3 linked regions of the Saccharomyces cerevisiae S288C genome follow. The protein of the gene in region 3 interacts with the protein of the main gene of each other region in a biochemical or structural test. Each region holds a gene or a part of one and is shown on either strand. Other genes may lie near its edges. The genes, in order: PRP46, PRP43 and YJU2.

Evidence for each region.
Region 1: the proteins of YJU2 (region 3) and PRP46 form a complex in vitro, tested with the Saccharomyces cerevisiae proteins (one study listed by BioGRID).
Region 2: the proteins of YJU2 (region 3) and PRP43 form a complex in vitro, tested with the Saccharomyces cerevisiae proteins (one study listed by BioGRID).

What each region holds. Positions count from the first base shown.
Region 1 is NC_001148.4:265,908-269,665, forward strand, and holds PRP46 (mRNA splicing protein PRP46), read right to left. Parts: upstream 1,629-3,758; coding exon 273-1,628; downstream 1-272. Other genes in the region: peptidylprolyl isomerase RRD2, read left to right, coding at 1-197; YPL150W (non-specific serine/threonine protein kinase), read left to right, coding at 2,281-3,758. UniProt on the Saccharomyces cerevisiae protein: Involved in pre-mRNA splicing. May also be required for cell cycle progression at G2/M.
Region 2 is NC_001139.9:282,182-285,939, forward strand, and holds the start of PRP43 (DEAH-box ATP-dependent RNA helicase PRP43), read right to left. Parts: upstream 1,757-3,758; coding exon 1-1,756. Other genes in the region: protein kinase COQ8, read left to right, coding at 2,261-3,758. UniProt on the Saccharomyces cerevisiae protein: Pre-mRNA processing factor involved in disassembly of spliceosomes after the release of mature mRNA.
Region 3 is NC_001143.9:260,119-263,613, reverse strand, and holds YJU2 (mRNA splicing protein YJU2), read right to left. Parts: upstream 1,338-3,495; coding exon 501-1,337; downstream 1-500. Other genes in the region: YJU3 (acylglycerol lipase), read right to left, coding at 1-265; CWP1 (Cwp1p), read right to left, coding at 1,763-2,482. UniProt on the Saccharomyces cerevisiae protein: Part of the spliceosome which catalyzes two sequential transesterification reactions, first the excision of the non-coding intron from pre-mRNA and then the ligation of the coding exons to form the mature mRNA.

The sequences.
Region 1 (3,758 bases), on a different chromosome or scaffold from region 3:
GCGAGTTTTTGCCTTGTCCGGATGGTGTATCTCCACCAAGAGGCCACATACATGATGGGACTGATAAGGATGATGAGTGCAATTTTGAAGGACATGTTCATACTACTTGGGGAGACTGCTGTGGTATAAAGTTACCGAGCGCTATTGCGGCTACTGAGATGAATAAAAAACATCATAAACCAATACCTTTTGATTAGGAAAAGTCCATTTATAGATGCTATCTCATTGTATATACACGTATACAGGGTACGTACTTTTTCCATCTACTCCCACTAAAATCTTTTGGCGCTTAAGTTGGGGTTCCACGCTAGCCCCGGTTCTGACTCTTTTGTAGCCGTCTCATCCTGTTTCCAAATCTTTATGCTTTTGTCTGCTTCTCCAGTGATTAATCTTAAACCTGTTTTATCGAAAGTGCTACAAAGAACACTCCGTTCACCTTCCAGAGAGCCTACCATTTCTCTCGTGGCCAACGATTGGTATTTGTGACCAGACTTATAATCATAAAAGGAAAGCACACCATTGTCACCGCCAGCGAATAATACATCATCTTGATTAATGCTTAAAGTATTGATTATGCCTGTCTTTTCAGACTCAAAATTGGTGAGTAAAGACCCCTCTGCTAATCCCCATGATCTGATGTCATCAGTACACGCAGAAGCCACCGAAAACTCCTTAGGATGCAACGCTGTAGCTCTCACAGACCTCTTATGATGTGTTAGAACTTTCATTGTTTTCCCAGCAACTACATCCCATAACCTTACCGTAGCATCAGTCGATGAACTCACCACTTGAGGGTCTACTGGAGTACACTGTACTTGATTGATTGGACCCTTATGCCCAACTAGTGTAATAACAGGTATTCTGGTTCTCATATCCCAGAGTTTGATAACGCTATCTCGGCCTGCGGTAGCTATGAGATCCAGCGTTGGATGTATGCTCACCGTACGAACCCCCGATAAATGTCCATAGTAATCTCTAATAATTTGGTTTTTCTCTAGGTCCCAGCATTTGACCGTCTTATCTTCACTAACAGAAAATAAATAAGGATGTCGATCTGACACAGCAACGTCTCTCACTGTCATTACATGCCCTGCTAAGGTAGTTTTTAATTTTCCTGTTGCAAGATCCCAAACTTTCATTGTCGTATCATTACTTCCGGTGATGAACCATTCGTTGTCAACAGGATCGATTGCAACGCATCGTACCCATCCAAGATGGCCATTGATAACGCGTGAAAGTTTCCAGGGTGCATGCCATTCCGGCCTTTGTGACAGAAGTTTTTCGTATCGATTAACTATAAGTTCTTCAGCAACCTCTGGTTGGAAAATTTTATTCACAAAAGCAGATGCATGCGTATCGTGATCTTTCTTGCTAATCACTGCTTGTGATGCTTCTGAAAAATCTGTAGGAACATGCTGCAGAGTAACTTTCTTGCCTTCACCACTAAAAGAAGAACTTTCCTTCCTATAAGTATCATATCGCATTAGCAATGATTTCTGACCTTCCATTTCGCTTTGTAGGTGGGGCGGCAGAGTGGCCATATATGAAAATTGGTTATTCCAGCGTATTCTGGAATAAAATTTGTCTACATCTCCTAAATTTTCGACTTTGTGATCATTTCCGTCCATTCTCACTAATCTCCATGTAACACAGTGTCTGCATCCTCGGAAATGGTTTTAAGATGCAATGAAGTGGGTAATAATTACTGTTAGCTTCACATCTTGAATAATCTTTTATTGCCAAAATTGTAGCTTTTCCGTATTAGATGATGAAGAATTTTGAGCACCCTTACTTAATAAAAGAGTTGTTGAACTCGAAATAGGAATACGAGATGAGGAGTAATTCTCTGAAAGTAGATAGCTCCTCTTGTCACATTGAATGCTACTTTATTGTGACTATAGGTGATTTAAGCGAACGAATGTTCTTAGGTCATCGTGGATTTGTGTGGTGATTTTCGGCTTATCTTAACAATGTTGACCGCGTGGACCCTCCCAATCTTGACAACAGAACACTTATCAATAACGGTATACAATAAATATCTTGTATGAATTAAATAAAGTAACGTTTTTTCCCTCATATCATTCCGAATCATTACGAAAATTCCAATACCTGTATTTTGAAGTCAACAAGAGTTTCGTTATCCGAATACTATTTTTTGTATCAATAAATTTTGTTTCGTTTTTCATTAATAACTAGTCACTGTGTAGTGGAAGCAAGTTCTCCTTATCCGTTGCCAAGAGACAATAAAAGACCCACATATAGGTGAATATACTGCTCACCATGGTTAATCCTGTTGGATCCTCGAAATTGGAACAAAACAATATAAAAAGCATTATAGGATCATCGTACAATCGACTATACAGCCAATTTACTTCTGATGAGTTGACAGAAGTGGGAAACTACAAGATTTTAAAACAAATAGGTGAAGGAAGTTTTGGAAAAGTATATTTAGCGCTCCATAGACCAACACATCGTAAAGTCTGCCTAAAGACGAGTGATAAGAATGATCCCAATATCGTTAGAGAGGTATTTTACCATAGACAGTTCGATTTTCCTTATATTACAAAGCTTTATGAAGTGATAGTGACAGAATCAAAAGTGTGGATGGCATTAGAATATTGCCCAGGGAAGGAATTATATGACCACTTACTTTCTCTGCGTAGAATATCGTTATTGGAATGCGGAGAGTTGTTTGCACAAATTTCAGGTGCTGTTTACTATGCACACTCAATGCATTGTGTTCATAGAGATTTGAAGTTAGAGAATATTTTATTAGACAAAAATGGAAATGCAAAATTGACGGATTTTGGTTTTACGAGAGAATGTATGACAAAGACGACATTAGAAACGGTTTGCGGTACCACAGTTTATATGGCACCTGAATTGATAGAAAGAAGGACTTATGATGGATTCAAGATTGATATATGGTCATTGGGAGTGATACTATACACATTAATTACGGGATATTTGCCATTTGATGATGACGATGAGGCTAAAACGAAATGGAAAATCGTCAATGAAGAACCGAAATACGATGCTAAAGTTATTCCGGACGATGCTAGGGATTTGATCTCACGATTATTGGCTAAAAATCCGGGAGAGCGCCCATCGTTGTCACAAGTTTTACGCCACCCTTTTTTACAGCCTTACGGTTCAGTGGTTTTAGATCAGACTCAGAAAATTTTGTGCAGACAGCGCAGTGGAGGGACTCAGTTTAAAAGTAAATTAGAAAGGCGATTGCTGAAGCGTCTTAAACAATCAGGGGTTGATACGCAAGCAATAAAACAATCAATTTTGAAAAAAAAGTGCGATTCACTCTCGGGTCTATGGTTATTGTTGTTAGCCCAAGGGAAAAAGCAAGAAAATTGCAAATATCCAAAAAGAAGCAGGTCCGTTTTATCAGTCAAAAAAGTTATTGAAAGTGCTACGCATAACGACACTAATGGCATTAGCGAAGATGTTTTGAAACCCTCACTTGAACTTTCTAGAGCTGCTTCATTGAGTAAAATGCTCAATAAAGGCTCAGATTTTGTAACATCGATGACTCCGGTTAGCAGAAAGAAGTCTAAAGATTCAGCAAAAGTTCTGAATCCTACTCTCTCTAAAATATCCTCACAAAGGGCTTATAGTCACTCTATTGCAGGTTCTCCTCGCAAGTCCAATAATTTCTTACAAAAAGTTTCTAGTTTTTTCAAGTCAAAAAAAAGCTCTAACAGCAATAGCAACAATAGTATTCACACAAATGTTAGTGAAAGCTT
Region 2 (3,758 bases), on a different chromosome or scaffold from region 3:
ATACATTTAGTAAGGTGATATGATCACCGTCTGGATGAGCAAAGATATTCTTGGCATCATCTGCTCGCTTCTTGTCCTTTGTTGGGCGAATAAACACGTTTGGAACCGATAGCATGGCCACTATAGTTAGTATTTCTTGAGAACATTGGAACTCAAAGGACCCAATTAACATCACCGCTAGCATAGGATCCAAGGGAAACTGGGATGCCAATCTACCTAGGGGTGTTAAGTTACCTTCGTCGTCCAGACATGCCAAATAATTTAGTTCTTCAAGGGCTCTCATCATTGTTTCCGGAGCCGGTGGATCCATAAAATCGAAATGGACCAAGTCATCAATACCTAATTTTTTTAGTTCTAGAACGGTGGAGGATAAATTGGAACGTAAAATTTCTGGGTAACTTTGCTCTATCAGTTCCTTTTGGAATGCCTCTTCAGTGTATAATCTGAAACATTTACCAGGCCTTGTACGACCAGCACGACCAGCTCTTTGTTGGGCAGAAGCCTTGGAGATAGGGGAAACAAGTAAAGACTCAACTCTAATTCTTGGATTGTAAACTTTTTGCTTTGAAAATCCTGGGTCAACGACGTAGACAATACCATCAATTGTTAAAGAAGTTTCAGCGATGTTCGTGGAGATAACAACTTTCCTGCCTGGTCTACCATTATGTGACTCTGGAGCAGGCTCGAATATTCTTTGTTGTTGATGCGGTGGTAATGAACCATACAGTGGGTATACGGATAAAGGTCCGCATCCCTCTTCTCTAACCAATTGATCACCTTCTAAGGAAATCTTTCTGACAGCGTCTTCAATTTCATCTTCACCAGTTAAAAATAACAAAATATCGCCAGCCTCTTCAGTGGCATGAATTTGCAAAACAGTACGAATGGCAGAATCTAAATAGTCCCTTTGAAATTCCGGTGTATAGTATAGCTCAACTGGATATGTTCTGCCCGGAACGGCAAGTAATGGAGCATCGTTGAAGTAGCGTTGGAACTTCTCTGCATCCAGAGTAGCAGACATAATAATTATCTTCAAATCAGGTCTCCTCTTGACTACTTGCTTCAAAAGACCCATCAAAATATCAGTAGCTAGTGTACGTTCGTGCGCTTCATCCAGAATGATACATGAATAACGCGACAAGTCATGGTCTTCCATTGCCTCTCTCAACAACATACCATCAGTCATATACTTCAATATCGTTTTATTAGAAGTTTTATTTTCGAATCTGATAGAATAACCAACTTCTTCGCCCAACTTGACATCCATTTCCTCAGCAACTCTCTGTGCAACAGACATTGCTGCGACACGACGAGGTTGAGTACATGCAACTTGAGTGTTCTCTAAGTGTGGCATCTCATCGAATAAAACGAATTGAGGAATTTGTGTCGTTTTACCGGAACCTGTTTCACCAACAAAAACCATAATCTGGTTATTTTGATAAAGTTTTAAAAACTCATCTCTCTGGGCATGTACTGGCAATTCTCTTCTAATTTTCAGGATATCAACATATTTTGGTGTAAACTCCCTACCGGTAAATGGATTTATTTTTCCATCTTCAAGTTTTTGGGCCTCTTCTGCTGAAGTATGGTGACGTTGCAAGCCCTTGAATTCACCAGCATCATGATGGACAAGTGGCTCTTCGGATGGAAGAGGATGCTGTTTGGATAATTCTTCCGCAATCTCGGCGGCCTGCTCAGGAATAGAGGTCTCAACTGGATCCGGGTGTTCGGACGAGAATCTTCTTTTGGAACCCATTATTATTCTTGCAGTCCTAATCTTTCTATGCGCGTTTATAAGGTTATACTATCGTTACTCAATCGCATCCCCGTAAACGTGTTAAATATTACAATTGAATAAGTTTCTTTTCACCTCATCTCGCATTTGAAAATTTTTCAGAGGCACCGAAAAAAAAGAAAAAGAAATAAAAAAGGACTTGTGTATAAGATCGCTAGATCAATAAAAAGCAATCTGGTAGATTTATGGGACTCCGAAATGATACTGTCAGTTGAAACAGCAAACGAATACAGAGCGTAAAACTAAACGACCTTAGTTTGGAAAATGATGAAATTTGTCCATAACTATATACTATCAGTCAGCAAACTATGATCCGGGTAATATTCATTTGTAAAGCTTTAGATCTGTAATAGTACCCAGTACTTTTTTAGATGATCTTAATTAGTTAAGATCTTTCTGGTACTGTACTCAGTACGCTTCCTTGGCATCCTTATTGGGACCTGTTCGGCTAAGATATCGTTCGATATGGTTACAAATATGGTGAAATTGAGGAATTTAAGGAGATTGTATTGTTCATCCCGTCTCTTAAGAACTATACAGAACGGGAGAATTTCTTCTGTTTCTTCAATATCGTTGAGTAAGAAATATACTACAAAATCTGCCAAAGAAGGTGAAGAAAACGTAGAAAGGAAGCATGAGGAGGAAAAAAAGGATACATTAAAAAGTTCCAGTGTACCAACTTCACGAATATCGAGATTGTTCCATTATGGCTCACTGGCAGCAGGGGTGGGCATGAATGCCGCAGCAAAAGGCATATCGGAAGTTGCAAAGGGCAATTCTCCCACTTGGAAATCTTTGATTCTATCAGATTCGAATATTGACAGAATTACCAATAAATTTTCTAAAATGAGAGGTGTTGCCCTTAAAATAGGGCAACTATTGTCTTTTCAGGATGAGAAAGTGTTGCCAAAGGAATTATACGAAATTTTATCAAGGGTACAGAATAGTGCAAATCATATGCCTCAAAGGCAATTGGAAAAGGTTATGGCCAAGGAATTAGGTGCTAATTGGAAGACAAAGTTTTCCAAATTTGACAAGATACCTATGGCAGCTGCTAGTATCGGACAGGTACATGCGGCAGAGTTGCCCAGTGGTCAAAGAGTGGTTGTCAAAATTCAATATCCTGGGGTTAAAGAATCCATTGATTCGGATTTGAATAGTTTACTAATGTTACTTACAGCCTCAAGTTTATTACCGAAGGGATTATTTTTGGATAAGACAATTGCCAACGCTAGAACTGAGTTAAAATGGGAATGTGATTACAACAGAGAGGCTAGAGCTCTACAAAAGTTTGAGGCGTTGCTAAAGGATGACCCAGCGTTTGAGGTTCCTCATGTGTTTCCTGAATATACAACCGATAATATTATAACTATGACACGTATGGAGGGAACTGAAATAATGAAATTGCCCAAGGCATCACAAGAAACCAAAAATTTTATTTCGGAGAATATCATGAGACTATGTCTGGAAGAAATTGCCACTTTCAAGTATATGCAAACGGATCCTAATTGGGCAAATTTCCTCTATAACGGTAGGACAAAGAAAATTGAATTATTGGATTTCGGTGCCTCCAGACCTTTTGCAGAAGATTTTATTCTAAAATATAGAAAACTTTTAACTTACGCCACATTGAGAGATAGGAAAGGGGCGTACGAAATGTCTGTACAACTGGGCTATCTCACAGGCTTAGAATCGCAGTCCATGAAAGACGCGCACGTCGATAGTGTACTTACACTTGGTGAACCTTTTAGGGGTGATGTAGATAAATCTTTCGATTTCAAGGATCAAACAGTCTCAGACAGGATTAGAGGTAATATCGGGTTAATGTTGAATGAAAGACTATGTCCGCCACCAGAGGAAACATACTCGTTACATAGAAAATTTAGTGGCATTTTTCTTTTGTGTGCAAGAATGGGTGCGTCTGTTCATTGTGCAAAGCTTTTTAAAGAGATTTTTGCCTATA
Region 3 (3,495 bases):
CACCTTTCGATCTGCCCGGCGATGTAACACCAGCACCCCTTTGATCAAACGTAAATGACTCGTAACCATTGAGTGATAAGTGGTCCATAAGCCGGAATTGAATCTTTGTGTACTCGCCAAACCCATGAATCAGTAAAACTCTACCTCTGACCTCATTGGTGCCATTTTGAACAGGCCAGAACATGTACCCGAACTTAGCACCATCAAAGTTTTCGTATTGAAGTTCAGGTACTGTCGTCTGCACTTTGTATGGATACGGAGCCATGCTTTTCTATTTGTCCTCGGTTTGTGTGGCTTTGGCTTGCTTTAGTCAACAATGGCTTTTCCGATATGTATTCATTTATAAGAAAATTCAATGAAAAAACGGCCAGACACTTCGAAGTCCGAAGGGGCTGTCGCCCCTCGTAAGTAGCGATGGACGCTATAGTGTGGAAGCAACCACAGTAGCACAGCATCACAAGAGATCATGATACCAATCGTACGTTCCTTACTTTTCTAGGTCATTTGAGAGACTTTCCTCGTTTTATAACTATCCCTAACGGATTCGTACGCACAGAGCTTTTCTTCTGTATTTTTCCCTTAGTGGATGTAGGATTAAACAACGGAGTTCTCTTCTCATCGTTGTTATTGCCAGGTTTATTGGTACGCTGCCTGTGATTGTCAAATACCTGATCTACGAGGTTGTCCAGATCATCAGTCGTTACTGCTTTTTCTTGTTGTGCGTGTTTGCTGCGGTTTATCATTTCAGCTCTCTGGCTCATTTCAAGGTTTTTTTTCCTTAAATTTTCAAGTTCCTCATCATCCTCTTGCTCTTGTTGAATTTTGGCTAGTCTTTTTTCCAGCAAATCCATTTTGTCATCTGCTTGCTCCTTTATACCCATCTTCTCGTTCTGCTCCATTTCCTTCTCTCTCACTAAGCGTTGCAGTGTCTCGTCTATGCTTTCGACAGCTGTTTTAGCGTTCAGGTCATCATTTGGTTTCTGAGGGACATAGTTTCTTACGCCCCCCACTTCCATTACATAATCTGAATTACCGGGGTCTGTTCTAAATGCAATGGAATTGGCACAACGTGGACATGAAATGGTTAGTCTATATATCTTAATGGAGTCCAGGTACTTCTCCTTCAGTAGCTCTTTCTTACCATTGAATTTTCTGCTTTTGGGAATATATTCGTTACATTCCAAACACCTCATACTAAATGGGGTCATTAATCTAATCGATGCGTGGCTCTTATTCATGGTTTTCAGTTTTTTAGCCATTTTCCTGGATAGCTTTTCAGCTTCCAGTGGGTTGTAATCCGGTGGATAGTACTTGTTAATAGCTTTTCTTTCAGACATTCTTGTATTCTCCTATCAGCCTGGAAACGGTTAATTTGGTTTGACTTATTAGTTCGTTCTACTGAGGTCACCGTAGTGATTTCTTGCTTTTTTTCGAATATGTACAATAAATAACAACTCTATGCGTATTAGCAGTCAGTGGAACAAACTTGAGATAGCTACTCTTATCTCCTTTTCTGTATATCCATCTTTCTACATGCAGCAGAGAAACCGCCGGCGGGACATTCACCTACTTTTCTACAAGTTTAAATTTTTCAAGCGAATCGGGGAATGTGAGAGCTGCATGCAAGAAAAGGAATGTAGGTAGGAGGACAATGTAAGAGAATATTATGGGCCATTTCATATTACATTACGCTATATGTAAGTGATCATTATGTAGAAAGCTATATTGAAGGAAATAAAACATGCAGGTTTTGTTCTCGTACTTACAACAAGTAAGCAGCTGCGACCGCTAGAGCACCAGCACCCATGCCGACGGCAGCCTTGGCACCTGCATTTTCTGTTTGTTCGTAAACTGTGTTTGGAGCTTGGATTTGTCCATCAGTAATTTGAGAGATAACTGAAGCAGTTGGGGAGCTAGCAGAGGAAGTTTCCACAGTAGTAGAGGTCTCGACAGATTCTATACTCGAACTATGCTTTGTAGAAGATGATGCGGAAGCAGACGAAGCAGAAGCAGATGAAGAGGAACTAGAGTCGCTTGGAGAAAAATCTGCTGCAACAGATCCGCTCTTACTAGTTGGTCTAATCGCAACACCGGTAGCGTCGTCGGATTGCTTAGAAGAGAAAATGTAAGACGACCCGTCCTTGATAGCGTAGAAACCAGAAGAGCTCTTGTAGTTTAGATGGCCATCTTTAATAGAAAAACCAGTGGCAGCATCGCTCTCAGAACCTTCTTTGAATGAGCCATCCTCATTGACAACAGCATACTTATCGTCGTCAAATTTCAGTTTACCGTCATCGGTAATAGTTGCCTCAAATGAGCCACTACCGCTGCCAAGTTTCAAAGTGCCGTTATCACTGTAAACACTCAAGTATTGTAAATCCGAGCCGGAACGGATACTCACCAGGCCGAATTCTTCGGAATCGGCAATGACCATCTTAGCCAAGGCGAATAAAGCGACAGACAAAGCAGTGGAGAATTTCATTATTGTTTTTTGAGACTTTCGTAGTATTTATTAGTTTGTTACGGGATATTTTACTTCAGACAGAAAAAAAATTCAAGGAAGATAGCGAAAGAAAGAAACGTTAAGATCGTCCTTTAAATAATTGAGATTTTGTTTGTTTGCTTTTTTTTTTTCTGCACCACAAATTATCAAAATTAAAAGGTGAAAAAACACTACATTGAACGTGAACCACAGAGCTTATTGTTTGTTGTTTTTTTTGTTTTCTTTTGTGGCACCTTCGAGATGGCTCTCCTGGAGTAAGTTACCGTTGTGGGACAACCCGCACGCACAGACGTAAGCGGACCCGTATTCCAATCGGGCCGAAGGGCCCTTTTCGTTCAGGGAGCTGTGGCTAACGCTATTTTTAGTTATGACGTACGGTGCGGCACCATCTATAACGCGAAGAAGTACTTTTTTTAGCTCTCTTTTTTTGTTTTCGCGGGAGGGGTTTGTTTATTATGATATTTTAACGGGATAGAAGGTCGAGCACACAATGTTTGCCGTCAAGAGGGGTATCTGCTTCTATATTCGTAACTTTCCAGATGTCCGATTTTTTTTTTCATTATTACCTCGAGCTACGATTCGGTACACATACATTCTTATTTTGAAACTTGTTCACCATATCTTTGCAAAAATTAATGAGATTCCAATGTTATGTATGGGTGAAGTATAAGACGTGGTTGCAGCATCCCTTAGTATTTGTCTAGTGGGGTTCTTCACTACTTACTCTTGAAGCATAAAAAAGAAAACAAGGCTAGCTCTAAAGCATCGTAGATGAATCTCATTAAGAAAATTCAGCATGTGCGAAGGAAGGTACAGTTTTAAAGTCGCATCAATGCCCATAATAAAGGGATTAATGGCACTGTGCTAAAATGTGCCAGGTCATGAAAATTTCATAGCGCATTGGCAAGCGACTTTAGCGCGCGCCAACGTGATATTTCTTGTAAGTTCAAATCCATCCGAGGGGCAATTGTAGTGAGGACAAAAGTTCATTG